Linked DNA regions of Cricetulus griseus. The protein of the gene in region 2 purifies or fractionates together with the protein of the main gene of each other region. This does not show direct contact. Links are inferred from orthologs where the notes say so. Each region holds a gene or a part of one and is shown on either strand. Other genes may lie near its edges. The genes, in order: Abhd10, Kcmf1 and Acot9.

Region 1 (10,340 bases), on a different chromosome or scaffold from region 2:
CATTACTCCTCGGTTATCTGAATTAATCTTAGATAATTTAAATGTTAGATAAATATTTTATTTTATTTTATTTTTTGGTTTTTTGAGACAGGGTTTCTCTGTGGCTTTGGAGGCTGTCCTGGAACTAGCTTTGTAGTTCTTGTAGACCAGGCTGGTCTCGAACTCACAGACATCCACCTGCCTCTGCCCCCAAGTGCTGGGATTAAAGGCATGCGACACCAATGCCCGGCTTAGATAAATATTTTAATGATGATAATTAATCATGAACTTAAAGTTGTTTTCTGTTTTTGGGTGGCACTAAAGTACTCATCTATCTTTGCAGACAAACATGAGGCTAAATTAAAAGGAGTGATATACTTTCAAGCCATCGAAGAAGTGTATTACGATCACCTCAAGAATGCTAATAAGGTAAATATTAATTTCCTCAGTTTCTACAACTTTTTTTCTTAGGGCCCTTTGTACTCCAGGCAACTTGCTTTATCCTCAGCCCTTTTTCATGTTCTATTTTTTGAGACAGTGTCTCACTACGTTGCCTGGACTGGCTTTGAACCTGCCATGCCTCTATCTCAGCCTCCTGAGCAGCTGGGTTCACAAGCATGCGTACCAAAGCCTGAACAGTTTCTACAGTGTGAAGGTGTAATTAAGTTAGGTTTTTTGGGGATTTTAAGTGATTCAGAGGCTGTCTTCTCACATGATGTTTCTCTCACAAATATGTTCAGAACACTGCTGCAGGTTCAAGTTGAAAATACGTTGGGTAGATGATTGATTTTAGGGATAAAGTCGTAATGAAATAAGGAAAGGTTCTGGATGATACTGATGAGCCACTCTGCAAGCATTTTTGGAAGGAACTACTTAGTATATAGTTAGAAAAGTGAATCATAACTTATCAGGACCATTAAAAAGCCAGGAATAACCACTGTTATTCACTGAGCATCTCCTGTCATGCTTTACCAGCTAGTTAGTGAATCCGTGAGCTCAGCATGAGATTTCTTATAGAAAAGCCCGACAGATGGCCCATCCTGAGGAAGGTGGAAGGGGTGCAGGGGGACATTGTAGTGTAGCATAAAATACCTTTATAAATTTCTGTCAAGGGCAAGTTTTAAAGCCGAAGAACCTTATGTTCAACTTTCCAAGTGTTTCTTTGACATTCTTTTCTCATTTTGAATTCCAGAGCCCTAACCCCCTACTCACATTTAGTGTGAAGACGCATGACAGAATCTATTACATGGTGGCCCCTTCTCCAGAGGCCATGCGGATCTGGATGGATGTGATAGTGACTGGAGCAGAGGGATATACGCACTTCCTGTTGTAATGAACTTCGGCAATGGTCCACTTCAGGGCAGACTGCAATAGTCTCTTGCAAGAATGAAGCCATATCCAGCCTCAGATGGAAAGGCACAATAGACCATCCCTTTAACTGTGTACACTCAGAATTCTTTTCATACTGGGGAAAAAGAAAGCAGGGCTCATAGTGAAAGAACAGGGGCTCGTTTGACAAAAAAAAAAAAAAAAAAAAAAAAAAAAAGCAAAACACTATTTTGATAAAAGCATCATTTAGATGTGCATTTCTCATAAACTCTTTTATCAGTTGATGTTGGTTAAATAAACTGAACAGTTTACACAATGTCTGTAAATATGTACTTAGAATGAAATTGTTTTAGCACCCAAATCATTGCCAATGGTAATCAACTGCCTTCTTTGTAGGAAGTAGCATTTTATAAAAATAAGCAAATAATGACATAGAAGGCAACAGATTTTTGACATTTTGCCTTAGTTTTTAAATACTGCCCGAAAACCAAAGACATGGCTGGACTCCTCTTCAACATCAGTGTTACTCTCTAACTACACTTTAAAATGGTATTTTGATGCCAACCCTGTAGTGTCCCTCAAAGAAGCTACTATGCATAGATCATAAACCACTTTCTTAAAAGAATTAAAAAATAAAAAAGCTTCTGTTTTAAGAAAAGGCCATTTCAGACAACAGAAACCTGTGACATCAGGTAGTTTTTAGTAAGGGGAATATTTAGTGGGAGGAGCCTGTTCTGTTGAAGATTTGCCCATTCCTGGTGCTGAGAATAAAAGCAACCAGTAGCCAGTTTCCTCCCGACTGCCCAGTTCCTCCTGCTTATGGGCAAGGCTTTTACCTGTGCCCTCCCGTGGATAACTATGTAACCATCACTGTTTTGCTGACAAACAGAACAATTAAAATATCTTGTTTTTTGGAGACAACCAAAATTCAAGTTAACAAACTCTATGCTATATCTTTTTACATATATCTTTACAAATAGCCTTGTTTTTAGAGATAATTTTTGTTGAATGAAATGACTTCAGGCAAGTCTCTTTTATAATCATTTCCCAAGTGCCATTTATTTTAGTTTTTGTGTTTTGTGTTTGTAAGTATGAATGAACTCTTTCCTAAAACATGCCAAATGGATAGAAGTAGAAAATAATGACATTACTTACTCGTACACATGAAATGATTAGAAATGTCCATAAAACTTTGTCAGGCCTTACTGGGTACATTTTTTTTAAAACTTACAGTGTACTTTTATACCTATGTACGTGTTACCAATAATAAGATTTTTGCAACTGGATGATGCAAGATTTTACTTGAATAATGAGGGACAAATATCATGACTGTAGGAGGTATTTTTCATCTGTGATTTTTGCATCAGTCCCCCTTCAATTCTAGTGGTCTAAAACATTAAAATGTAATTGCGAAGATTTGGTTGGTTGATGTAAAGACACAACTTTTCTGTACTGTACTTTCTCCATAGGATTGTAAGGGTGTTCTAATCAATTTGCATGTCTGAACCTTTTAGATATATGTGTGTTAAATGTATTGAGTTTGGATTAAAATGTTGACCTGATTTCACATTTGAAAGTAAACTCTTTCTTTCACTTTGCAATCACCTATCTGTACCATAACAGAGGATGAGTTAATCACAAAATTTGACAGTAGAATCTACATAAAGTTTGATATGTGCTGACATTATGATTAGAAATTCATAAACTAAAATAATTGGAAGCCTCTCTGGCCACATTTCTATTACTGACAAAATGAGGTAAACAACAAAAAATGTTACATATTATTCTTATCCTTTTGTATTGATTAGCCATTACTTCCCTTAAGGGTATAATGCAAATGTGAAGGAAAGCTCTGAGGCTCCACTTCGTGGGGACCTCTTTCTTCCTGAGGTTAAAGAGAGAAGCTGCCTTCAAAACAAAACAAAGCAAAACAAAAACAAAAATGTCCTTTTACTTTTGTATGCTGATGGAAGGAATAATGACCAAAAAAACCCAAACTGCTTTACTTTAAGCCTATTACTGTCAGGGAAGGTTTTTTGACAGTGCCACAAAGCCACTTAGCTTCCTGATTTGTTTTGCTGGTAAGAGTGCATGCATTGAGAAAGCACTCCATGGGTTTTCCCCCTTCTATATATATGTACAGTCCTTTTTTCATTAGGATAATTTACATGATTTTTGAAATTCTGCTACATATAAAGTACAAGGAGACACTGAAAATAGAGTAGAAGAAACCGATGGGGCTAACAATATCAAGGATAAGTTTTGCTGTAAGATACAAGAGGTAGCATTCATTGGACATCACTGCCTTTGTGATTCGGTCCTTTGATGACTACATCTGTTCTGGTCCTCTCTCTGAAAGGTCCTATATCCAAAGTGTCAAAATAGGTCTGTGAAAACTTCGGCTTTGACCCTGGCCACGGATCATGCCAATGACTTGAGACACAGTGACAGGAAAACAGAGTTTTATTGACACCAAACCGGCAGGTGGAAGCAGAAGAGCTTCCATTCAGAGTCCATGGGACTTGTGGGGTCTCACGTTAGCATATCCAGGTGGCACCTGCCTACTTCACATAGTACTGAGCTCTCCTGAAGTTCCAATGCTGTTCACAGTCACCAGGAGTTCCTCTAATCTAAAAAGGGAATGTACAGCTATGATCTGTTCCTTAATGTTTTCTCATATTTCCAGGCAAAGATGACTTTAATTAGTTAATTTAGGAATGGGACATAGAAAAACGAGACAAAACCAAAATGATTTTTAAAAAATAAATAAATAAATAAGATCTATTTCGTTTTTCTCCACCAAGCTTCTCCGGTATGTTCTAACAGATCATTTTCTCAAGACTCCAAAGACAGGCCTGGCTTTGCTTTTAACTCTGGTACTTCTCCCAAATCTTTCAAGGGATGGTGTCCAAGTTTGCATCTGTCATTGCGATGCATGGCATGACCAAAGGCAACTTAAGGGAGAAGAGGGTTTATTTAGCTTACAGGTCACTGTTCATCACTGAGGAAAGCCAAGGCAGGAATTCACGGTAGTGGCTTGAAGCAGAGACCACCAAGGAATATTGCTTACTAGCATGCTTCCAGGCTCACAGTCAGCTACTTTTCTTATACAGCCCAGACCCACCCATCCACCTTCATATACTGCTCCTGGTGGGCTAGGCCCTTCTACATTAGTCAGCAATTAAGAAGATGCCCGACAGAAGTGCCTACAGGCCAGTAGGATGGGTGTGGGCATTTGTCAGTTGAGGTTCCCTATTCCCAGATACCCAAAGCTGACCAAACCAACCAAGACAAATAGTAACACGGTTTTACCTAAAGTATTGCACTAAATACAATAATTTCAACCAGAATACACAAGATAAGGCATATACTGAGTGATACTTGATCTCCCCTACCATTACTTTGAAGGATGTCAGAATTTAGAGACCCTATTATCACAATTTATTTAATTATTTTTTCTATAGCCATTGATTGTTCCCCACCTTTTTTCATCTTAAAAAAAAAAAAATGTTGCTGTCATAGGTAATACACGACCTTAGGAACTCGTGTTTTTATGTAGCATAGTCAAAGGGGGGGGGGACGGTAGTTCAAAGAGTACCGAAAATTATGCGCATTGTAATAAACATGAACAGATTGCCTGACAAAAGACTTTAGATTGTCACTCACCTAGCAACCAATGTGTTTCTAGTATCTTTGCTTATGGGTGCTCGTTTGAATTTTTGGCAATCTGGTGAGTGGGAAAATGTTTGGGGGAGAGCAAGAAATGCTGGTGTTACTTCAATGATGTGAATTTATGATAAGGTTGCCTCTTGGAAACCTTTCCCGCATAGGCTGAAACGGAGCGTTGGGCACTGGTAATGCCAGAAGCCTAGCAATTTTTGTCACAGGTCTTTGGGTCCTCCGGATGACAACATGGTTTCCCTTCTGTGAAGGTTCAGTTTGGCCCTGGCTCCTCGCCGAGATTTCCGCAGCTTACAGTGAAGAAAGCAGGCCAAGGCCGCCCCAATGTCGCATGCCAAATACCCTTCGGGGAGACGGAACGGCCTGGCAGACAAAGTGGCACAGTACTCACCACCCTGCGCATGCGTCTCCGCGCAAGCCGCAGCTCCCACGTGACGCAGCTTAGCAACCTCCGCCTCCCCGCGGGCTGCGCGCGCGTGACCTCGGGACCCGGTGACCCGCGCACGTCCGTGGCGGGCGCCGGGGCAGCTGGGAAGATGGCGGCCTGGGTTCCTTGTCGGAGGTGGGGCTGGGCGGCTGCGTTCTTCGGCCGGCACCGAGGCCTGAGCGCGTCGCTAGCCCGGAAGACCCCCCGCGCATGGTGGCTGCCAGGTTAGTGTAGGGAAGGCTGGCACTCGGCCTCTTCCCGGCGTTCGTCCCGTAGCCGCAGACAGCCTGCTTGGCGCTCCATTCAAAACTGCTCTGAGGCTTTCTGGGCACTCTGGACGCTTTTGGGGAAGGCTGGGGACAGTACTTTCTGCTGAGGCCCCGGGGCGTTCTTGGAGGTTCTTGGCAGCGTCTTACTCAGCGATGTAAGGAGCTTCTGTGGTCTCTGAATCAAACGTTAAGACCAGGGGGGAAAAAAAAAAAATCAGATGTGCATGTAATCGTATTTGGGTATTAGCTGCTTCTGGCGCTTTGCATATCGTTACTTTGGTAAACGCTTAGTGCTGCCCAGGGTTGACTTGAGGAAATAGAGTATGAGGCATGTTCTTTGTACATGTAGATGCTATCTTTGGACCTAATATCTGATTTTTCTTCTGGAAAGAACTATAATTGCTTCACAATGAAAACTAGAATTTGTATTAATATTACATACATAGAATATATGGTATATATCATATATTCAGAATATATAGATATAGATATATATATGTATCTGTGAATGATATCCTTGTTGTGCCTTTTGCAACTTGCCACACAGCTGTTAGATAGATGCATAGAGTTTTGGAAGAGTAATGTCGTTGTATAAATTAGCATGGTTAAATTTTTTAAAGTATGTAACCAGTTTAATTTACACTGCACATGAAAAACAAAAACAAAAAAAAACTTGACTATTATGTAATCTCATCAAAGTATAGTATTTCAATTTGTTAGCAAGAATAAAATATTCCTTTATCTCTTTAGCGGTATTCATTGGCCATATATTCATCAGGCTTTCCTTATTATATAGAGATGATTTATGTTGAGTCTGTTGTTTTTTTGGTTGTTTTGGTTTCTTGTTGTTGTTTTTGTTATTTTGAGACAGGGTTTTCTGTGAAACAGTCCTGGCTGTCCTGGAACTTTTTGTAGACCAGTCTGGCCTCGAGCTCACAGAGATCCGCCCACCTCTACTTCCCAAATGCTGGGATTAATGGCATGTGCCACCATTGCCCGGCGAGCCTGTTGTTTTGTAGCTCACAAACAAATCAGTAATAACTTCCTAGGATGAAATTCATGTGTTGGGAGGTAATGTCTGAAAGGTGATAAAAGGATTATTTGTGTGTTTAATTAAGGAAATGGGGAATGACCATTGATACTGATACAATCCATTGACCAACACAAACTGATCCCCAGAAGCTCTGTTTTTCACCAAGTTTTAAACTTGGCATATATTTCCATACTCTGAAACTTTGGATCTGGTTGGCAGGTAAAGGCGATAGCTTTAATGCTTTTGATTCTTTGTATGCACTCGGGGAGGGTGCATGGTTTGCTGGTGTTAGTGAGACAAGGTTTCACCATATAATCTCTGGCTCTCCTGGGACTCGTAGTGATCCCTTTCCGCCTGTAGCTCTTGAGTGTTATGGTCAGTGGGGTGCACCACCACACTAGACTCTCTAATCATCTTTTTCAAAGAAAATAAACTGAAAAAAATTGAAAATGGGAGAATTTTTAGCATTACACATGGGAGAGACCCAGAAGTTTCACTAACCACACACAGACTGTTTATTCTTTTAAATGAGGGCTAGCAAGGACAGCTCAGCAAGTAAAGGCACCTTGGACCCACAAGGTGGAGGGAGACAACTGTGTCCTTAGTTCCTCATAGATGCATAGCATGTACGTGCACACACTAAATGAGTAATTTTTAAAAAAGTTTTTAAAAGAAAAGATTTATTGGCCCAGAAAATGACTATTCAGATGTATTCAAGCCTGTCTTTGGAAGAAAGTGTGACTTTATTTTTTTAATATTTATATGGCTTTGATTTTTTAAGTGTTGATTTTATAATGGGAAATTAAAACAGTGAACTAGATTAGCCCATCAAGATTCACAATTTGTCCTGATATATTTAAATGTGTACCATTTAGAAAAAGCCAGCCAACAAAAGTAAACACACCAATCAGAGTTGTATGAGAAGTTATTTTTCCAAGAATGATACTTGATACAAAGTTATTTTTTTTTAAAGACAGCCTTTTGAAACCCCAGTTGGTAGGAAATTACAGTGGTTTCTTACCTGTTTCTTGATATTCCTGGGGAGGAATAGGTCAGTGGTACCTAGTCAAAAAGAGCTCAGTACTAACAGCATCATCCCTTCCTTGCTAAGTACTCCCCAGCTCCTGAATATTGTACCTCTGCTTCCCAGATCTAGGATTGCCTGTGCCTTCGATTTTGCCAGTTCTAAAGGCAGAGGAAAGGGAAAAATGGAATATACATGTTCTTCTTTTCCCCACTCATATGTCAAAAAGTAGACAACATGAAACTCCTGAAACATGGTTAAAACAGAGAGAGGAGAGGCTGTGTTGTATTTAAATCTTAAATCTTAATTGCTACTGTTTAGGATAATCCCGAGGCACCAACATGAAGGTATTTTTTTGATGAGTCTCTCTTTTGTTTCACTGAACTTTCCACCTCATTGTGTATTTTGGAAGAGTATGATTGGGCCTTGCTCTAAGAAGGTAAATTTTTTTATGTAACTTTAAAACTAAAAATCTCATGCACAAAGCCTATTTTGATTTCCTATCAAATGCAATGAGTTAAGAAAGTTAAGATTTGAAAATATATGTGACTTTCCCAAAATAAATTTCAAGCTATAATTCATGCTTTGTGTACTTTGTTTAGCTTGCAGACAAAAGGTATCACTCTCTTTCCTCAATCGAACAGACCTTCCAAACCTGGCTTATAAGAAGCTAAAAGGCAAAAATCCAGGAATTATCTTCATCCCTGGCTATCTTTCTGATATGAATGGTACCAAGGCACTGGCAATTGAGGAGTTTTGCAAGTCTCTAGGTCACGCCTATATAAGGTAGGAATAATACATTTCAGAGGTTATATTACCATTTAGCATTGTAATGAAGCCAACTGAAGTAAATGCCAGCATTTGAGTAGATGAGTTTATTTTAGTAGTGTACAAACTTTGATCTTGTGGTTTAGGGTCTTTAAGGTCTTTGTGCCAAGCTGGCTGGATTGGCAGGAAAGAGCATCATAAGAGAACTACCAACTAGTTCTTTAGATACAGTAATCTGTGTGGCAAAAACATGTTCTCATTGGGTTTCTTATAGTCACTTGTTATTATGGGTTACGTCCTAAGACATAGGACTTATCTGATCACTGTTTATTACTTTCTAAAGTAGGCATTTAGGACTGAGAGTATAGCTCAGTAGAGCATGTGTTTAGCACAAAATCCTGAACTTGATCCCTAGCACAACCCACACACACACACAAAGTATTTTTAAAAGTAATATAATAGTGTAAGATTGATATTGTATAATTTACATTTCTGTTTTCTTTCTCCTTCACTTATATAATCTGAATGTGTTTGAGCATAAACAAGGATGGGTAGTGTTTAGTTAAAACTTAATTTTATATTTATTCCTTTTCACTCAAATATTTTAATGAAAATATATTGATGTAACAAAATTTGTTAGGTTTATCAAATTTTTTGATATTTTACTTTGAAGAAGGGAATACAGTTCAATGGGCAAAACATTGGTAGAATTGAAGAAATAAGGATTGAAGGCCAAAACTGAATCTCAAATCAGTAATACACAGTAGATAGAGGTTTGTCATCCAGTAGAAGAAGAGTTTGTCTTCCAGTAGAAGGATGGACTAAAGATAACTTATGAGTTCTTTTCTACTACAAACAGCCTGAAAATCTATTCATCTAAATGTTATGAAGAATAGTCTCGCTAATACTGCTTCAGTAGTTCTAGAAAATACAGCTACATTAAAACTTTTAGGCATTATCTGTTCAGTATTTTTGCAGAAATTATGTTATTAAGGTAGATTTAGTCCATTTTCCTTTGTCAGACTAGCAAAGTTATTTATTTTCATTCTCAGAACTATTTTTAAATCTCTTGACTTAACTTGCCTTGAAGACTGGAGGTGAATAATGTATTAAGAATTATGAAACACTGTACTTGCCCTAAAGCAAGGAGTGAAAATACATGCAGGTTATTAGGCAGAAGTACTCATCAGAATTGCTTCAAAAAAAAGAAGAGATTACATAAGGTGAGAGATCCTGAGGAGGGAATGGAAGGGCAAGACTTTACAAAGGGACTCTAATGTGGGAAATTACCAATATGGAGCCAGGTAGAAATACAAGGGAATTTAATAGGGAAAAGCCTTACTTACAGAGCGACCTAGCCAGCAGTAAGTACAGCAAGCCAAAGATGAAAGCCAAAGAAGGGGCTGCCACATGAGTGTCCCTCACTCTTAAACCTTCCCTACATCACTCTGACCACCCCCTCGCAGGCATGGCTACAGCATCCACTACAGGACTCTGGAAACAATAAACATGTGGGGAGAAGGGCAGTTCTGTCCATGGAGAGAGACCGCTAAGGAGAATGTACTTAATTATCAGGAATATCGCCGTCATTGCTTTTTCGTCTGAAAAATAATAAAGAAATGGGCATTTTAGGACTGGGGAGATGGCTCAGTGAGTAATGCAAGTGTGAAGACCAGAGTAGGGATCTCTAAATCCAGCCATGTAAAGGTGGGCTGGGTGTAGCCGCCTGCCCAGAATCCCAGCATTTGGGAGTCAGAGAAAGGGAATCTCCTAAGCAAGCTGGCTGGTCAGATGAGCTGCGACAGTGAGCCTCAGACTATTTGTATAAGG
Region 2 (10,614 bases):
TGCTGAAGGACAGTTTTATTGTGGCATACGGTTCTAACTTCTGACAAGCATATCCAGCAATGTAAAGAATTGCAGTCACAGTACAGAATATCCCCATCATCTCAGAAGTTCTCAATAGACAAACTAGCTCCTCAGCTGCAGGTAATTGCCTGTGTGATTTTTGCCCATATGATTTAATTTCATACTTTAAGGACACATAGACACTTCCCCCAATCTTTTTTTTTTTTCTTTTTTAAAACAGGGTGTCACTATGTAGCTCTGGCTGTCTGGAACACCAAGGGAGACCAGGTTGGCCTCAAAGTCAGAGACACTTTCGTAAGTGCTAGAACTAAAGGCATTCACTGCTTGCTATGCCTGGCTCACTTCTCCCAAATCTTAATATCTTACAGAACTACAGAAAAACACAAAAGCCAAAAAACTGTGAGCCACGGCCTGACTCACAGAAGTCACAGTGAGGGTGACAATGGGAAGATATTATATACTGGACTACAGACTTTATTTGAATCTCATTATAATGTATTTGACTGCTTGTTTTAAAGAACACAACTGGGCCATCATCCATGAACATAGATTAGCTTGGTAAAGACACTTGTTACTTACAAGTGACACAGGACAGATCAAAGAAGCATAGGAGAGACAGTGCTAGGAGGAAACATTTCAAGGTGGGGGAGGGGAAGCAAGTCAGCATTGGGAACAGGAAGATCTGGAGACTTCAAGGCTAACCTGGGGTACTAAACATCAACAAAAACATCTTGTAAGTGGTTGAGCATGGTGATCTGTGCCTGTAACTCCAGAGTTTGGGAAGCTGAGGCAGCAGGAGAATACTAAATTGGAAAAAAATCATTTACTGAGCAATTTGGCATAAAGATTATACTCTCTCTCTCTCTCTCTCTGTAACCCAGGCTTGCCTTGAACCCACAGCAAATATAGTTTTTTTTTTTTTCTAATGGCATTTCCCATATGGCAGCAATGCAAACAAGTGATTTTATTTATATTTATTATTGCTGTTTTTGAGGAGGGTCAGGCCTTGAATTTTGTGTGAGTGCATGAGCATGGAGGTTGGAGGACAATGCATAGGAGTTTTTCTCTCCTTCAACATATAGATCCCAAGGATGAATTCAACAGCAAGCTCCTTCAGTTACCCAGCCAGTCCAGGCCTGGAACATCTGAGCTGAATTTACAGGAATTTACCACCACCCTCTGAAGAGGCTGGGCTTTGTTTTGAATTTAAAGGCCCAACCTCTGACTAAGTTGATAAAACCTCATAGCTATGGTAATGATCCAGTCTAATCTTACTGGAATAGAAAGTTTCTTATGCTTATTCTTCCCAATTGAAAACAGCGAATCAGAGAACTGATGGTAGTTCCTTGGAAGTCAGACAGAGCTGCATATTTGCTCCCATGAACAAGACTGGCTAACCCTTCAATACAATAAAACTTGTCTTTCAATGTTTCTGTGCCTTAGTAATATTCATACCCATAATACTGAGTTTCCTATATATTAGAACTTTTTCCTGTACTAGGTGTACACACCACCTCCTAGGTCCAAGTCCCTTCCTCTTCCTAAATAGTTTCCTAGTTTCATGTCCAATTTTTCATACTTACTGGTTTTCCTTTCTGTAGGTGTTGCTTTTGTTGGCCACCCTAACTGTTCCGGCATTTTTACAGGACTGCTTAAAAACTTTGATATAAATTTATATAAAATCACCATTCAGTTAGGAGAGTGGTGTATGTGAATTGTTAAAAGCCTGATTTTCAGTTAGAGAAGTTCAGGAACTAGACTAATACTCCAAATCCTTTGCCAATAACTTAAAAATGATTAGAAGGATCTTACCCACTAACTGTGTCATTGTTAGGCAGGCCAACTACCAACCCTGCTCTACCTATGTAACCCTTACTTTTGTTTAGCTTGAACCTCTTCCTCCAACATCCGTGTCCACACATGAAATGGGACTATTTCTAGTGATCTAGTCCTCATTTAAACCCAAGTTAGGTGGGAGTGTGATGGAAGATGCCTGTAATATCACAACTTGGGAGGTGGGGATGGCAGGAAGATCAGGAGTTCAAGGTCATCCTCGGCTACATAAGGGATTCATGCACAGGCCTGGTTACATGAGGTTCTATCTCAAACAAAACCCCCCAAGTTAAAACAAACAAACAAACAAACCCAAAACCCTGGTTTATTTCTCAGTGATAACAGCTATATACACACAAGTTCCTTGGGCAGATGGGGGTGATCTACTAAATATTTCCTCGAATTAAACCTTTTAATATTTTTTAAAAAACAGGCATATCTTAAATCATATTCAATAAAACATTGTAACGAACAGGGTCCTTCCTCTGCCAGACAGCTTACATACTAAATCTTGGTACTGTACCTCTTCTGCATCTATTTAGCTATGCCCTTTCAGAAAGCCACGGAAGCCAAGGCAACCAAAGCTTGAACCGGGCCACACAGTCAGTGGAGGGTGGGCAGATTAGGAAAATCGCCAAAGCAAGCGGTCTTCTGGAACCCTGTTTCAGTAAACTTAGCTGGGAACTTTGTCCAATTCCGAGTGGACGAGGACAAAATTCACTACCGAAAGCGAACGAGAAGGAGCGGAGGCACCGCAAGGTTAAGTCACTTGTCCAAGGTTACACCGTGCATATCAGCACCAGAGTCCAGGGCTGAACAGGTCTTAACTACAGGGCGCGATCTCCCTACGCCACGCCACCACTGACACGTGGTCAGGGGTAGTCTGAAGTATTTGCTGAATTAGTAATGCCTGAAAAGAAAGTTGACTGTGAGGAACCTGGGTGAGGCTGGCGGAAAGGGCATACACATCTACACACGCCGCACAGAAAAGCAGTCCACGAGCAGAAAGCAAAGCAGCCCCGAAGCCCACCAAGTTTTCCCCGCAGCGCATTCGGGCGGGCGGTGGCCGGACGACCCAGCCCAGCCTTCAGCCGGGGTGGGCTCCCAGGCCTCGGCCGCGGCCTCCCCGCGGGGCCCGGGGGGACACGCAAGCCCCGGAGGCCCGCACGACCGCCCTTCCCTTCCGAGTTCCCCGCTTTCAAGGAGCACACAGCAAGCACATGTGTGTCCCCGAGCGGTCCGCGATGGCCCGGCCGCCGCGCGCGACCGGGCGCTGGGGAGCCACCTCCGGGGCGTTTCGCGTCCTCGTCCTCCCACGCGCAGCGCGGCGGGCCCGCGGCTGGGCTCGGGTGCTGCGGGACCGCGGCCGGGCCGCCGCCGAGCACGGTCGCCCGCCGGCCGCGGGGCCTCGGGGCGGCGAGAGGCGGGGCGGGCGGGCGTGCGGGGGAAGGAGGCGGAAGAGGAGGAAGAGGAGGGAGGGGAGGCGGCGCCGAGCCGGGAGACGGGCGGGGGGCGGCCGGGGGAGGGACGAGCGGGATTTGCGGACGCCGCGCCGCTGCCGGGAGCCGGCGGGGGCCCAAGAGTGACGAGTCAGGGCGGGCGCGGGCGGAAGCGCGGCCGCGTCGGAACCCGCCTCCTGAGGAGCTAGCCGGCCAGGCCCGGCCCCATTCCCGCCCCGCGCCGCCTCCCGCCGCCGCGCCGCCGCCGCCGCCGCGGGAGCGCTCCCCTGCCCACCCCGCCCCCGCGGCCGAGCCCGGGAGTCGAGTGGGAGTCGGCCGGCTGGGCGCGGGCAGCGCCGGGAGCCCGCGGTGGGGGCACACTGCAGCCGGGAGCCCGGGAGGGGCCGCGCCGCCAGCGTCTGAACTAGGATGTCCCGACATGAAGGTGAGAGCCGAGCCCCCGCCCCCACCGCCTGGGCCTCGGCCTACCCCGCCCGGGGTCCGGGCGCTGCCGAGGCAGCGGGCACCGGCGGGGACGCGGGCCGAGCCCGAGTCGCGGGGCCGGGGCCCCGAGGGGACCGTGGCCCGAAGAGCGAGCGACGAGCGGGGAGCGGCGGCCGCCAACCGTGGCTTGCGGCGGCGGCCCTGAGCTGGGCCTGGAGCCGGAGGCGGGCGGCCGGCGCGGCCGGAGGCTTTGCACTGTCATGGGCGGGAGAGGGGGAGGGGAGGCGGCAGGGCCCCGTTTACCGGCGGGAGCCTGGCTCTCGGGACACATACCGGACGCCGAGGCCTGGCCGGCCGGGCCCGAGGGCACCGCGGGGCCCCGGCGCGGCCTAGCTGCGGCGGCTCCCGGAAGAGCTCGGCGCGGTGGCCAAGCCGGGTCGCGGCGTGCGGCCGCGGCAGGGGAGTGGGGGTCCGGGCCCAGCGGACGCGTCCGGGGTCCGGGAGACTACGGGCGAGCGGCCGCCCCGCCTGAGGGCCGCGGCCGTGCGGGCGGGAAGACGCCGCGGCCCGGGCAGCCCTCGCTGACTGGAGCTCGCCCGGCCTCGCGGTAGGCCTCGGCGCGTCCCTGGGCTCGGGTAAACCAAGTTCCCGGGGCGGATCCAGCCCGGCCGCGGCGAGCAAACTCCCTGCTCCGTCACCCGGCTGGAGCGGAACTCGCTCCCGGCCAGCCCCGGGCCCTCACCCGCGTGCGCTGCCCACCGAAGCAGGCTTACGGTCGGGGGCGTTTGGACTTCCGCGGTGCCCTGTGAAAACACGCTAGGGTTCTGTGGCTACGAATCAGACCCCTCACGTCTCAGCCCCACGGCACAAAGGCACAAGTGTTTGAAGGCCGAAGGATAGGCGATGAACTGGTGAAAAATAAGTTAACTTGAATTTACTACCATATGGTTTAGGGAGGGGGAGGGGGCTATGTGCTCTTTGTTTCACTACAGCAGGTTTTACATTAAAAAGTAGTCACCCGACTTAGTGAAAAGTTTATTTCACTACAGTTAATGGAAGATTATAGAAGTGACTAGAAAGTTTCCTGTCCTTTGAATTCTCAAGACCTGGATAGGTGTTCTGGGAGTGGAGAAAGTTTGTGGAGGTAGATTCTAGGGTGTGCTTCACCGAGGAAAGGTATTCTTAGGGAAATCCAGACCATGGATTTTCTAGATTGTAAAACTCTCATTGATTAACATATGTTTAGGGCAAGTTTGGGAATTTGCATACCTAATGGCAAGACTGAAATTGACTCCAAACATTTTAACAAAGAGACTTCTTGGAGCATTTTTGATTACTAACTGTTCAAGTTTTGGAATAGCAGGGTACTTACTTTAGCCCCAATCAGGAACAGAAATTTGGAACTCTGTTCCAACATACCATTCCGTATGCTTAATGGGAATGTGTCCCTTATCGCTGTAATTTGGAAACAGTTGTAATTAAGGTTATAATCAATTCCATTTGGAGATATTAAGGTTAGTTTAAATTGCAGCAGTAGGTGTGTTGACCGCCTTCAAGACAAAATGAAAGTTAGCATGGGCTGCAGGCTCTAATTCAGGAACTAGATTAAAATAACAGAATAATAATCTAGAGAGTTACGTGTCTGAGATCTTTGCCCCTCCAGATCCAGAATGTTCTTAATGAGCAGTAGCCTGGAAAAAAGAGTCCTTTACCCTCAGATGGTGTGTTATCGTAATTAAAATGGCTTAGGTAGATGTAATATCCTTTAATAAAACACACTTGTAATTTAAGTCTGTCTTTCCCTGTTTGCCCCTGGAAAGTGTGCTTTTATAAAACTTGTGTTGCCTTTTAGTTACTTGACATCTTGAAATCTGCAACACCTTTCTTGTCAACTTAATTTCAAATGGGTGTGTTGAAGATGTTGTACAGTGTTGTACAAGTGAGTTTGTATTTATATAGGTGCGTTAACTAAGTTTAGTATTTTGTTTATTTACTTTGAGGTAGGGTCTTATTAAGTAGCCCTAGCTAGCCTGACCACAGATTCTGCCTGCCTCTGCCTTCCCAAAACTATAATTAAAGTTGTGTGCCAACAGACAGTTACAGTTTAAGGGTCTAGTTTTGGCCTAGTGCAGGGATAATAGTTTCAGTATCACATCTGTCCTGGAGATATGTCTGTGTTTTGTAGTATATTATTTCAGGCAGTAATTATTTTCATCTGGATGAAATATAGGGTGCAATCCCAGGTTTTTACTTACCTCTCTCTTCTTTGGGCCAGCTAAGCCTGTTTCTTTCAGCTTTGTTTTTCCAAGTCAGGGTTTCTCTGTGTAGCCCTGGTTGTAACCCAGTCTATAGACCAGGCAGGCCTTGAACTCAGATCTGCCCAACTCTGCCTACTGAGTGCTGGGACTAAAGGTGTGTGCCACACTGTCTGGCCTCAACCTTGTTTTTGAGACAGGGTCATGGTACCGATTCTTGGCAGGCTTGGACTCACTATGTGAACTAGGCTGGCCTCACTTGCTACCACTCCTCCATTTGCCTATAGCCACCTCCCTCTTGTGACACCACACCTAGCTTAGCATTTTTTTTTAGTGGTCTGATTTTCTAGCTCTTTAATCATCTGTCTTCAACATTCTCTGCTGTTGTTTTCCTCCGGAGTATGACCCAGAACTGGATGTAGTAGTCTAGTGCAGGCCAGAGCTGTGCCGCCTGTAATGTTCTTGCCTTCTCCTTGCTTTTCCAGGCTTCTGTGCACAAGTAACTTGTTACTTTGTCTTCTCCCAACTCTAACCAATTGCTCTGTAGTATACAGATGATGTAACTTTGGACCACACAGCCCCAAGATGAACACCTGTCAAGATCAAGCACTGGACTGCTCTGAGAAAAATGGATGCAGCCAAGGACACAGAGAAACGCTCTAGGCCAGGGTTAGCATACATTCTCCAAAGTAAAGGGCCAGGTAGGCAGTGTTGTCGGCTGAGCCAGCTGTGAGATCTGTCACTAGAATGGTTGTGGCAATGTTCCAATTAAAACCTTATTTATGGACACTGACATTTGAATTTCATACAATTTTCATGTGTCATGAAATATGATTCCTTGAAACCCTGCCACTATCACCACTTAAAAATGTAAAAGCCATTCTTAACCAGTGCAGCCAGCCAGTCAAGAACTGGTGGTAGCCACAATTCATCCAAGCATTGGCGTTTGCCTGACACTGGCCTTCAGTAGAGGTTTAGAGTTGGGCGGCCTGGAATTGGTGGGAGACCGTACCCTTAGTATGGCAATATTTCCATTGGGTCATGAGCAAGTGCAGGGACTAAGCTAACTCCAGCACCTCATGAGGTAGCACCACATAGGTTGGGAGAAGGGATGGGGCATAGGCTCCTACCTTTTCAGGAATGTGTCCATGGCGGTGGCAGTGCCCCACAACAGTGATGTTCCTGTTTTCTCTGTGACTTCACTGGGGAGAATTGCAAGGCCTCTTTTCACTTCATTTTGAAATGTGCTTTTTATATTAGCAAACATTTCCCAGGTGGTAGCATCCAGTCACTTTATGTTCTCTATAGCAACAATATCTAGTTCTGTTTCTTACACACCAAACCCATTGGTTGTCTGCTTTCTGTGTTTAGTCTCTGATCGGGGCTGCAGCTGTTGTGGCTCTGCTTCTTGTTCTTTTTGAGACTGGGTCTTAGGTATCTCTGGTTGGCCTTGATGACCAAGAGTGACCTTGAGCTCGTGATTTCTTCCTTCCACTTCCCCGCTTACAAGCAAGCCTAAATTACGGGAGTGTAAGGGCTTGAACTCTGAGCTTCACACTTGCTGGGTAAGCATGTACCAGCTAAGCTGCATCCTTGGTTTTGCAGTGCATGGTTAACCTGCGTCATAAGGCTCTGGATTCCACCACCAAAGGAAAATAAAAATAGTGTCAGGTATGTGTCGCTTGGCTATTAGGTATAGCCACTCTTCCAATAAGACTGGAGGATCCCCTGAGCCTAGGAATTTAATGCCAGCTAGTTCCATCCAAAGAAAAACAGCAAAACATTCAGGCTCGGGCCTATATTTCCAGTACCCTGTCAGTAAGTTGGGATAAAAGGTTTAGAGGTCCAGGCCATCCTGGACTACATAGCAAAATCCTGTGTCTTACACACACTCCATCTTAATGTCATGTTTTTGTAAACAACATATTTGAAATGTATGCGATTCAGAGTTTAAAAGTCAGGAAATAGCTTTGTAAATAAAAACCTGTCAGATTGTCAGCTCATTATCTCAGTTATGAGTCTTCTAGTTGGTTATGTGAGTTAATAGAGAGCTTTAAATCCTTGAGCTGTTTTGTTACTCTGTAAAATGTACTGCTAGGTACTGAGGGATGTGGGGAATAAGGAGACATACACAGCCTTTCCTTTAAAGCCTGGTAGGAGATGTGCTTTTGTAGACAGTTTCCGAGGAAGCACTCCTGAGAAGGGTCCACAGAAAGAGATAATAAGCAAGTGGATGCCAAAGTGTACGCAACTTTGTTCATGCCTCTTTGCTCCAATTTTAACTTATTTAGTGTACATGAGTGAGGGAGGGTATGTTTGAGTTGGGGTAACTTAAGAAGTCGGTTCTCTCCTTTTGCTATGTGGGTCCTGGGTCAACTCTGCTCACCATGCTTGAGTGGCAAATGCCTTTACTTCCTGAGACATCTTGCCCCGTTTTGCCCAATTTTAGAAAGGGAATCTATTTTGATTTTAATATCTTTTGGTTCCCCCTTCCTTCCTTCCTTCCTTCCTTCCTTCCTTCCTTCCTTCCTTCCTTCCACACAGGCTGGCCTTGAACTTCTGTGTTTCCACCTCAAGTTTTGGGATTACAGGTGTGTTCATTACTTTATGTACCAACTTTCAAGTACTTTTTAAGCTTGTTCTCTGATACTCTTTATTAAGTAGATATTGCATGTATTTCTTTGTTCAGGAAAGGGGGTGGTCAGAGGGCAACTTTCAGAAGTGGGTTCTCTTTTCACCTTCACAGGAGTCCTGAGCTTCAGATTTAGATTGTTGGGTTTGGTATAGGCGCTTTACTTAGCTCTGCTACTGGCAGCCTTGCTACTGTTAAGTTTTCTGAGACAGGGTCTCATACAGTTCTCACTGGCCTTAAACTCTATTTAAAGTTCAGAGACTCTGAACTTCTGATCCTCCTGCTTTCACCTCCTAAGACCGGAATTACAGGTGCACACCACCATGCTGTGTTTATGCAGTGCTGGTGATCAAACATGGAGCCTCATATATGCTAGGCAAGCAGTCTACCAACAGAGCTACAACCCCCAGTCTTTTCTTGTGCTGCCCTTGGCAAGAGATAAAATGGCTTGAGGTGTCCTTACATTTATTAATTTGCTTGGGTGATTTGCAGTGAGTTCTGAGGATGGAACCCAGAGCCTCCTACATGCCAGACAAAGGAATTACCATCAAATTAATACTTAGGCCTTTTTAAAGTTTTGATACTGTCTTCCTTACTGTGAACTTATTCTGTGTCCCAGGCAGGCCTTCAGCATGTGTTTCTCCTGCTTCAGCTTTCATTGTAGCTGGGCTTGCAGGCCTGTAACACAAGGCTGTCTTTACCTGACTTCTGTTCCACTAGCTTTTTGAAGGTTTTTACTTGTATAATGACAGTGGATAGATGGGACAGGTGACAAATTATTGTTACTTGTTTCTCAGAGACATCTAATACTGTTTGCTTACAAAATATGAAACACAGAACTATATAAGTCATTAATCTAGTTAGTATCAGTTTATGGGCTTTTTTTTTTTTTTTTTTTTTCAACACTGGGGATTGAACCCAGCTCTCATGTACACATGCTGTAAGAGCCTTGCCATGGGGCAACATCCCTAGCCCTCAGCTTTGGTTTTCTGAGACAGGCTCATGCAGCCCTAACTGGCCTCAAACTTGATGTGTCGCTGAGAGATGACCTTGAACTCCTGATCTTCTTGCTTCTGCCTCCCAAGTGCTGGGGTTACATGTGCCATTATACCTTTTTTTATTGACAAAAATTAAGTATTAACTTTTATCATGTACAACATGATAAATGTGTGTTGTAGAGTGTCAGTTACAACTTCTTGAAAGTTGTGTCTATTTGTATATTTTTCAAATACTCTAGTACTAAACACACATAAAGACAGAGTAAATTGAATTTTTTTTTTCAGATTATCAAGCCAGGTTTGATAATTGGCATGTCGTTTTACTTCCCACTGAAAAGATCAATGCCATCGTGTCTTAGTTAACTGTGTCCAAAGATTGTGACAGTATTAAGACACTTAATTTCCAATAAATCATAGGTTGTATTTACTTTCTCTTCTTTTTTTGCTGTGTGTGTGTGGCCTGGAATTCATTTTGTAGCCAAGGTTAACCTTGAACTTGTGGTCCTCTGAGGTTGGAATTGTGGTCATAAGTCATCATGCTCAGCTACTTTGACTTTTGTAAACAATAGATAAGAACATCAATTTATGAGAAAACACCTTGTATTTTAATTTCTAGGTTCTTCATATGCAATTCAATTTGAAATATTTTTTTTCATAGATTGGTATTTTGTGTTTAGGTTCAAATTGTACTAAAATAGTACTTTCTTGTTTTAACTTGGGAATTTAAATAGAAATAAATTTCATCTTGGAGTTTTACATTGCTTGGCATTAGGCCATGTATGCAATCAGAAGGCTGAGGCAGACAGATGAGGAAATTCCTGGCCAGCCTAGACTAGGCTACATGAGACCCTATCTCCATTAAAAAAAAGGCAAGAGAATCATAACCAAACTATTACCAGTAATTTTGTAATTAGAAAGGAAGCTTTGCCATAGTACAAACTTAGGAACTTTCTGATCTGCTTTGCATCCTTGTTAGAAAGAAGCCTGTGTAT
Region 3 (10,281 bases), on a different chromosome or scaffold from region 2:
ATCCTTGGACCAAAGTACTGGTTCTGCCAGTATTGCTTTAGGCAAGGCTTCTAACTTCTCTAATCCATTTCCTTGTAAAAATTGTTATAATATATATTGATATTGATATTAATGGGTAATTAATAAGAAAGGAAGTAAGTGGTGAGATCGGAAACCACCAGGAACATGGACAGTGTGGATTTAAAATAAATATGAATTTAAATATTAATTTAAATATGAATTTAAATATGAATTTAAAATAAATATGAATCAGAAGATTGGGATGTAAAGGTTTTCTTTACGGCTCTGAAATTCAATGCATGCATGATTGCTGAGCTGAGTCAAGCTGAACTCATTCGTTTTTTGACCCTATGTCTGCTCACCTCCATCTCCAGTCCAATAATGATTGACAATATGGATTAGATAATCACTTAGGACAGTATGAAATCTCAAAAAAATATATTTAAATGGACCAGCCATGATCTCTTGATCATGGGTGAAACTGTTTATAAAATAATGTTTAATCTAGGATTATTATCAGATTAACTACTTTTCATTCTTTCTCTGAACTATCAGTTTGAATGTTGTGCTGGATACTGGTCCTCAAGCACAGTACAACTACCATATCTAGTAGTGCAGTTATGCATGTTATGTTTGCTATTAGAGTTTAAGGACATTCACAGCTCCAGGCATTGTCTATGAAATTTTAAATGTGATTTCTCTGTGTTAGAACACTGGCTTGAGTACTGGTAATAGTCAGTTGACCACATGACTTATTTTTTGCCAGGCTTAATGGATACAGGATAGTTATGGGTAACTTGTGACCTACTCTATTCATCAAAGTTCTTCAGAGAAATCATTGGTTTTTGTTAAAATCAATTTTCTTTTATGTGTATAAGTGTTTTGATTGCAGTGCCTTGTACCTGAGGAGGTAAGGGCAATGGATCCACTAGAGCTAGAGTTACAGACAGTTCTGAGCTGCCGTGTGGGTACTGGAAGTTGAACTTGAATCCTCTGGAAGAGCTGCCAGAGCTCTTAACTTCTCAGCTAACTCTTTAGTCCCTAGAGAAACAGTTTTTATCCAGGGAAACTGCACCTACACTTTTGCTTTTTAAATTTCATTTTGGAGTTATGGAGATTGAACATAGGACTTTGTGTAAGTTTGGGTTTTTATTGCTGTGACCAATAAAAATCATGTGGGTTTTTATCATCATGACCATGACAACTTATAAATAAAGAGCTTGATTAGGCTTATTGTTTCAGAGGGTTAGAGTCCATGATGTCAGAGTAAAGGTATGGTGGCAGGAACAACTGAGAGCTCACTTCTCATATAGCAAACAAAGAAGAGAGCACATTAGGAAAGACATGAGTCCTTAAAACCTCAAAACCTGTTCCCAGTGACAACCTCCTCCAAACAAAAAACCACACCCCTTAATCCTTCCCAAAGAGTTCTGTCAATTGGGTACCAAGTATTTAAACATAGATGCTTATGAAGGCCAATTTCTTTCAAACCACTGCAGACCTTTCACATGTTTAGCAAATGCTCAACCATTGAGCTACAGCTTTCAGTTTTGTTTTATAAATCATGATCTCTGGTAGCAAATGGGAAAGAATCCAGTTAATTTGGCTGCTATTTAATGAATGTGTTTGTTCACAGGGCATCTTTGCCTGATAAATGTAGCTCTCACTCCTCATCAAAGAAGCTTCTCTTTGCATCAGATAGAAACAATAACAGAAAACCACAACTGGTTAAAATATACAGAAAACTTATTCTGGAATGCCCATCCCCAGTGGATAACACAACTCCTGCACATAAGGCTCAGGAACACTGAGGAAGAATGAAAGGGAAGAATGTAGGAACCATCAGGCCACAAAGTCTGATGTGAGATTGCATCTGCTAATAATGATGGGGAAGGTGTACCCACATACTACAACAATATGACTGCCTAAACAATGAGAACACTAATTGACATGCTAATGTGGGAGGGGAAAATATCAAGGGGCCCCATCACTAGACAAAGGACTGCAGGCAATTAAGGGATGCTGAGAAAGGGTGAATTAGTCTTTCCCATGAATGAGCCTTTTAATTGGTCAGCCATAAAATCATCCACATACAAGCAACACTAAATAAACTCAACATGCTATATTTATATATTTGTGTATGCATATATATATGTATGTGTAAAAAATATGCATATATTTGTGTGTAATGATAATAATAAAAATAAAGAGGCTCTGAATTTGAGAGGGAGGAAGAAGATGTGTAGAGGGATTAGAGGGAGGAAAATGAAGGAAGAAATGATGTAATTAATGATATTTAAATTCAAATAAAAATATATAAGCAAAAACAATGAGAGGGCTAGAAAATGGATTAGAAGTTAATGGAATTGTGGTATTTTGAATAATAATGGCCCTCGTAGGCTCATATATTTGAATGCTTAGTCACTAGTGAGTGGCAATATTTGAAGGATTAGGAGGTATGATTGTGTGAGTAAATGTGTCATTGGGATGGGGTTTGAAGCTTCAAAAGCCATGCCAGACCTAGTCTCTCTCTCTCTCTCTCTCTCTCTCTCTCTCTCTCTCTCTCTCTCTCTCTCTGTGTGTGTGTGTGTGTGTGTGTGTGTGTGTGTGTGTATTTGCCTATGGATCAGGATGTAGAATTCTTAGTCACTTCTCCAGAACCATGTTTGTCTGCCTGCCACCATGTACCCTGACACAATGATCGTTAGAATACAGTGTATGAATGAAGCTGTGTGAGAAGAATTCTGATTGCTTGTAAGAAAACATGACAAGAGTCCTGTGACCTCAGTCTTCCAAAGCATAGGATTGTCCTTGGAATATGCTTTTGTGCACCTCCCAGGGTCATGATGTTGCCTTGGTCATGATATCTCTTCACAACAATAGAATAGTGACTAAGATAGGCAGGCACTATTCTTACAAAGGAACTAAGTTCAGTTCCCAACATTCACATCTGTTGGCTGACAATGGTTCACAAACACCTGTAACTCCAATTCTGGACTTCACAGGCACCTGTTGTCACACACACACACACACACACACACACACACACACACACACACACACACCTCTAGATACACACACATGATGAAAAACTTAAAATCTCTTCCTGTAAATAAATAAAAGTTTGAGAAAGATAATGTGTTTCAGATGGACATTCAAACCTACTTCTAAGATGGTTCATTCACAGGACTAATAGAAATAATAGAATAATAATTCCTTAACAGGAATAATAGAAAATTAACTAGGATGGTCTCCTAATCTATTCTGTACCCTTTCCAAACCCTTTGGCAATAGGGCTCAAATACAAGACCTTACACATGCTAGGCAAATACTACCACTGAGCTAACATCTCAGCAACATGGCCTCCCTTTAATTTATTTTGAGACAGAGTCTCACTATTTTGTGTTGGCTGACTTTGAACTCATTACAAATCCCAGACTAGCTTCAGAACTTGTAATTCTCTCACTTCAAGTCTCCAAGTAGCTGATATTTCAGACATGTGCCATCACATCTGGTTCATGTAGATAATTTTGGATTAGCTATATAATATGGGAAGTAAGCTAATTTTAAAAACACAGTTTCTCTAGCCTATGAAATTATAACATAAATTAGTTTGAAAGTGGATGCCATAGTCTCTAAGGAAAATTATTTATTTAAACCAGATACCCAAAATCTATATGGTTCAGCATCTCAAGGAAATATGACTATTAAAATTTTTTGATCATAAGACATGACTAAACTATAACATATAATCAGATTTTGTTATGCATTGTTCTACTTGTAGTAAAGACATTGATAATGTACCTGTCAATCTATCATTAGGTGTTTTGAAATTTTCATTACCTGTGGAACACAAGTAAGAAAAATGGTGAGTTGGCAGATGGGTTGTGTAAGGACAGGGATTTTCACCATTACACAGTTGTTACATGTTTCCTGTCTGGCTTTGTGACTACTTTGCCTCCCATCCCTGATTTTCAAACTGTGATGCATAAATGCCTTACAATAGCAATAAGAACAACAATGAGACACCAGGGTTGCTAAGACATCAAAAGAATTTAAAAAAAATGTTTTTATGTGTATGAGCCTTTGCTTGTATGTACGTAGGTATTTATGTGTACTATGTGTGTGACTTGGTATGTGCAGAAGCCAGAAGAGGCCACCAGATCCCCTGGGATAGTTTTGCACTGCATGTATGTGCTGGGCATGGAACCTTGGTCCCCTGCAAGAGCAGCAAGTGTTCACGACTGCTGAGTTGTCTTTCCAGCCTGGTTAAAAATTGAGATAGAGACACATATGAATGCTAGGTTGGCTGGTTTTAACATGGCTTCCCTGACTTTAGAACTAAGATAAGTGAGCCAAGTATTGAAACTTTGCCCACTTTAAATATCATTTGTAGTGGAGTCTATGGGGTTCATTGCTCAGGCCTTTTTTTTTTTTTCCTAAAAAATGTTTCCTACTCTCACCAATGGTCACTAATTCGAACATCTATATTAGTAGATTGTGACTCAGGACCTGGCCATTGGCCTGGGTGAGGGAATTCCTGTTAAGACCTTCTCACAATCGATTCCTCTAGGAATGTGCCATCATGCCTAATTCCTGAAGATTTCATCTATTCTGTCTTTTTTTCCTCCTCATTTGGTACTGGACTGGAACTTTCTCTGTCGCCAGGCAGATTGTGAATTTGTGATCTTCCAGCTTCACTCTCCTTGGTTGCCTGGATAACAGGCACGGGCCACCCTTCAAAAATTCTCTTCAACTTAGTTTTTCTCCCTAAGCATTTTTTAAAACCAAAACTTCAAATAAAAACAGGAACAATATTTCTTATGGCTTAGAACTCACTTTAGCCCAGGCTGCCTTCTAATTGGAGGCTATTTTCTGGCCTCAGTCTACCTATTGCTCGCAGAACAAGCATGGTACCCATATTTTGGAAAGCTGCTCAGATGATGCCAAGGGCAAGAACCACGGACTGGCAATAAACCTGCAAGAGTCAAGGACTAAATCATTCAACTCCAGCAGAGGTTCACCCAGCCAGTACATCACTCCGCTCTGACGAGTTGTGCGGAGTGGTTCATTTCCTTAACAAAGGAGGGAAGAGTCCAGTCTGTTAGTCTAGGACCCCACCTAGCTGATTGAATGGGAAGTTCCATTAACTGCGTCTCCAGCTACCCGCCAATCAGGACCTTCGTTCTCTACGCGGTAGTCCCGCCTCCGGGCAGCATAGCCCCGCCCTTCCGACAGTGAGGCCCCACCCCTCCCGGGTGCTCTTGTGGCGTACTCTCCAAGGTGGCGAAGCAAGCAAGATTCGGTCCTGTGCAGTTCTTGGTGTTTGGAATCAGGCTCACACTCAACGCTCTTCTGTCACCTGTTTGCCTCTGCCCAAGAGTGCGAGTGACTCGGTTGTCCACCCGTGGCTAGGCAGTGGATTGCCATGAAGCGGGCAGCGATGCGGTAGGTGGCAGTGTGTGGAAGGGCTTAAGAGGGGCGCTGTCCTGGGATGCCCACGCCTTTGCCGCGCAGAGCGGGGCGGAAGAAGCCTTGGGCGGGACAGAAGCGGTGTTTGGCTTTACAGGAAAAAGCACCCGCAGCCCTGAGCTGGGCCCACCAGACAGCCTAGTCTGGAAGAGTGCCGCCCTGCTTTAGTGACAGCTGGCACTCTTAAAAGGGAAGACTCAGGGTGTTCCCTTGAAATTCCTATCCCTTTGCTCACCAGGGGTGTGGCTGGAACCTTGGGGTAGCCTCCTTTCCGAAAACAAGCCAGTCAGTATTTTCAGTTCCACTTTGCCTTGCCTTGCCAGCCCTTTTCTCTTTGAAAAACATTTTGGAGGTTACACACTTGACACACTTGGAATCTGACTTAAGTAGGTTATCACATGTGCAAAGATTGTAGAGTACCGTTTGGCTCTCACAAGTTGATTCATCTGTTTTTATTTTTTAGATTTATTTTTATTACTTTATATGTAGAGTGTCTTCCTTGCATGAACGTCTGTGCACCACATGCATGCCTGGTGCCTGAGGAAGTGGTGAGCCTCCATGTGGGTGCTGGGAATCAAACCCAGGTTCTTTTTGCAACAAATGCTCTTAACCACGTAACCAACTCTCCAGCCCCTTGTTTATTTTTGAGACAAGGTTTCACTATGTAATCTTGGTTGCCCTAAAATTCGATGTGTATATCAACCCGACTGGCCTCACACTCAAAGAGTGCCTACAGCTTTCTAATGCTGGGGTTAAAGATCATGTGCCACCACTTCCGGTTCACATCTGTATATTTATTCATTGGTTTGGGAGAAGAAGAACTAGCCGGCCTCATACCCCTGACAGCGCTTCAGCTTTCAACTTTTCTAAAATCTATTGGGACTTACAGATGTACATTATCATGGCCAGTTTAGAACATGGCTTTGAGAAGTAGAAAGGTGCTTGCAGTGAAAGTGCTTTCTTGGACCACTTTCCAACTGGCATAGTTAAGGACTAAGGTCTTTAGACTGTAGGGCATATCTGGCTGTCCCTAACCCACAACATGCAGGGATTTTTTTTCTCTTGCCTGGTTTCCAAGAGATGACGCTTGCTCTAGGTTCAGAAATCATCCTGCTGTTGGTGAGATTGACCTTGACATGTGTCCCACTAATTCGATAGGGGTCTCTGATCTGCCTTTATTCTTCCTAGGAATCTTGCTATCAGGTGAACCAAGTGGGTTATCTCACCATCCACCAGCACCTAACATTTGTCAAACTATTTGAAGACAGGTTCAAAGCCATTAAAAGAAGGGCATGATTCCTTAGACTTCTACAGGTTTTGCTGCCTTGCCCTTGTGCCTTCTTCCATAAGACCTTTAAAAAGTGTTGCAAAACTTTATTTTCATGTGTATGAGTGTTTTGCTTGTATGCATGCATGTGTTGCATAAGCATGTCTGCTGCCAGTGGAGGTCATGAGGGAATCCCCTGGAACTGGAGTTAAAGATGGTTATGAACCACCATGTGAGTGCTGGTCGCCAAATCCAGGTCCTCTGCAAGAGCAAGAAGTACTCTTCACTGGACTAGAGAGCTGGCTCAGTGACTAAGGGTAGTGGCTGCTCTTCCAGAGGAACCAGGTTCAAGAACTCCTGTTGCAGGAGATCTGACCTCCTCATTTGGCCTCTTCTGTCACATGTAATTCACAGACATACCTGCAGGCAGAACACCCATATACATAAAAAGAAAATCTAAAAATTTTTTTAAAGAAGTGGTTGTAATTATTGAGCTATCCTTCTAACCCCCACAACACCTTTCCTGAGCTCTTCTAGCAGTTCAGAAGTCCTTCCTTGCACTCTATACCTTTGTGTTCCTTTCTTGTTAGTCCTATTGAACCTTCTGTCAATGTCTAGTAGAGAAGTAATCCCTACGTGAGTATAGGCTGTCTGAACTGATGAGGTTATTTGGTGTTCACTTGTGTAGCTTCTTCCCAGACACATATGAGTCATGTCACTTGATTTAGTCTCCATGTTGAGGTATTTTCTCAGAGTTCTGGGCATATGAATAACTATGCCTGTGCAATTGCAGCTGAGGTGTAGCCCAGGCCATCACTCACGTTAAGCAAGTCCTCTTCCACTGAGCTAACAACCCCCCAAGGCTTGAACTATCTGATAATATACTGACAATTTTTGCCATTTTCTCCATATTTAGAACCTAAGATGCAGCCAAGCTGTTTCTTTTCATAACTTCAGGTGACTCTGTAGCTCCCTAGGCAAGCCACGGAGAGGCTGAAATTCTCTGTACTATTTCCTTAGAAATGTTCAATCTTAGGGTCCTTTGGCCTGAGTATCCTAAAGGACCCATGACAGTTTCCTCTAAAAGCCTAGGGATTTTGTTTTGGTGCTCCTGGGGGCTTATCAGAGATAAGGAAGAGCACAGTGCTGTTAAGAGATTTTGTCATTATACAACACCACCGAGTGTGCGTACACAAACACAGATGACACAGCCTAGACCACATGTTATAACTTACAGTTCCTGGACTGGAAACCTATAGCACAGTACCATATTGAATGGTGTGAGCAGTTGTAACACAGTGGTGAGTTATTTGTATGTCTGAAACAGAAAGATGGAGTGTTACTATGATGCAGAAAATAAAAAAGGTGCACTCCTTTATCATTAATGGAGCTTATGAGATTAGAAGTTGGTCTAGGTGAGTCAGTTCAAAACACTAATATATGGATACAGCTGTTAAACAGCCATCCCTTTTCATATCATTGTTCTATAAGTCCTTTTTTAAATTTGAAGATACACAGTTCAGGGACTAGAGAGATGGCTGTGTGGTTAAGAGCACTTGCTGTTCTCCCAGGGGATCTGAGTTCAAATCCCAGAACCCATGTCAGACTGCTCACAATCACCTGTACCTCCAGCTCAGAAGAGTCCTTGCCCTCTGCCGGACCCCACAGGCACCCACACACACCAACATGCATGTCCACATATCCACATACAGACACATACCTCTACCTTTTTCATGTTGCAATTGCAGGCATGTGCCACCACCCTTGATTTTATGTATACTGGAAACTGAACCCAGCACTCAACCAACTCAGCTATTTGCTGAGTTGAAACAGTTTATTTTCATAGTTTTTTGAATTGCCTTTGAATATATTTCCCATCTTTTAAGGCTGCATACAAAACTTATGGCTGTGAGACTGACTTTGCAAATAGGTTGACTCAGGTGTCTGTATTCAGTTACCCCTTTTTGTGTTACTGGGGTGTGAACTCAGGGCCATTTTGTCTTTCAGTTAATGTTAGCAATGGAAATGATTAGCTTTTCTTTTTGCAATGGGTTCTTCATATTTGTGTGTGCATATTGGTGGAGGTGTGTGCGCATGTATGTTTGCAAGTATGTTTGTCTCTTTGCATGCAAAAACAAGAGGAGGCCACTAGGTATCCAGCTCTATTCCTGGCCTTATTCCCATGAGACAGGAGCTCTCACTGAGACTAGAGTTCGTCATTTAGGCTAGTCTTCCTGTCTCTGGGGTTATAGGCACCCAAACAGCCACACCTGAATTTTTATATGGTTGTGGACATTTGAACCCTCTAAGCTATCTCCCCAATCTCTGCAGTGGCTTTTATTTAAAAAATATTATTGTGTGTTTGTATAAATACTTGCATGATGTATGTGTGTGTGTGCATGCATGCCAGCTTTGTGGAGTCAGTTCTTCCCTTTTTACCTTTCTGTGGGTCCTTGGGATTGAACTCAGGTTGCCAGGATTGTGACTTTATCACCCTCTATCCCATGTATGTTCTTTAAAATTTGGTGTGTTCTGTTTCGGAAACCTGGTTTATGAGATAGCAGGATACAGGGATACATAACCTACTTCTACGAGTAATAGATTTGAATTTATATAAAAATGTATACAATGATGAAAAACAGAACATCTAAATCATGTTGTGAGAAAATTCAAATTTGAAGGCAAAGATCAAGAAGACTAGAACATTAATCCGTGTAGAAAAGTACAGAAAAGGGAAAGGTTACTGTGTGAAAACAAAAATGTCAAGTGACTGGCAGCCATATTGATGAAGAATAAAGAGGGCATAAAGACTAAAGTCCTGCAGTGAGCATTTCTGTTTTAGTGGGCCAACATGGATTGTGTCACAGCTAAAGAAGATGACAAGGTGGCTAAGGAGTTAAAATTTCCAGTGAGCAAGTATGCATAATTATATATTCTTTTGCAGTTGAAATAATTGGCTTGGTGAATGGTAAAAGATTTATTCTAGCAGCACATAATTGTCAACTATATGTAGGTAGATTTTTACAAAATATTTTTACTGAGTGACTTTCACTGAATGCTGTAACTCAGTAACTTGCTCTAAGAAAAGGTGAAAATGTAATGTTTTGGTTAGTCATTATCCTGATGTTATGTAGTAAGAATTTGCTAGTAACTTGAGCTAGAATAACTTGACAGTGTTTAGAATTCTTTCTCCCTTCAGTTAGTTTTCAGCTTTCACAGATTAGTTTGTTAATTTCTAGTGTGAGTGTGTGTGTTTGTGTGTGTGTGTGTGTGTGTGTGTGTGTGTGTGTGTGTAAGGGGGGTAGGGGAGGGAGAGATGAGAGAAGATCTCATTATTTAGCCCTAGCTGTCCTGGAACTCACTATGTAGATGAGGATGGCCTTGAACTCACAGGGATCTGCCACCATGCCAGATTGATATATGTTATTACCAATATGGAAGAATGTAAGTGTATATAAGTCTATGGTTGTCAACACTTAAGCAACACTGAATTAACATCAGCTTATCCGTTTATCCAATTTATTTTAGAGAGGATTGGTAAG

The links.
Region 1: the proteins of Kcmf1 (region 2) and Abhd10 purify together in Homo sapiens (affinity purification with mass spectrometry; 3 studies listed by BioGRID and IntAct, counting the BioPlex papers as one, with this or other methods). This does not show direct contact. The link is inferred for Cricetulus griseus from reciprocal best matches to the Homo sapiens genes KCMF1 and ABHD10.
Region 3: the proteins of Kcmf1 (region 2) and Acot9 purify together in Homo sapiens (affinity purification with mass spectrometry; 3 studies listed by BioGRID and IntAct, with this or other methods). This does not show direct contact. The link is inferred for Cricetulus griseus from reciprocal best matches to the Homo sapiens genes KCMF1 and ACOT9.

What each region holds. Positions count from the first base shown.
Region 1 is NC_048597.1:44,857,070-44,867,409, forward strand, and holds the start of Abhd10 (mycophenolic acid acyl-glucuronide esterase, mitochondrial), read left to right. Parts: upstream 1-5,463; 5' UTR 5,464-5,525; coding exon 5,526-5,640; intron 5,641-8,344; coding exon 8,345-8,528; intron 8,529-10,340. Other genes in the region: Phldb2 (pleckstrin homology-like domain family B member 2), read left to right, coding at 323-408, 1,172-1,312. UniProt on the Homo sapiens protein: Acts as an acyl-protein thioesterase that hydrolyzes fatty acids from acylated residues in proteins.
Region 2 is NC_048601.1:64,622,797-64,633,410, reverse strand, and holds the start of Kcmf1 (E3 ubiquitin-protein ligase KCMF1), read left to right. Parts: upstream 1-3,545; 5' UTR 3,546-3,722; coding exon 3,723-3,738; intron 3,739-10,614. UniProt on the Homo sapiens protein: E3 ubiquitin-protein ligase which accepts ubiquitin from an E2 ubiquitin-conjugating enzyme and then transfers it to targeted substrates, promoting their degradation by the proteasome.
Region 3 is NC_048604.1:90,713,375-90,723,655, forward strand, and holds the start of Acot9 (acyl-coenzyme A thioesterase 9, mitochondrial), read left to right. Parts: upstream 1-5,229; 5' UTR 5,230-5,428; coding exon 5,429-5,448; intron 5,449-10,281. UniProt on the Homo sapiens protein: Mitochondrial acyl-CoA thioesterase. Catalyzes the hydrolysis of acyl-CoAs into free fatty acids and coenzyme A (CoA), regulating their respective intracellular levels. Regulates both mitochondrial lipid and amino acid metabolism.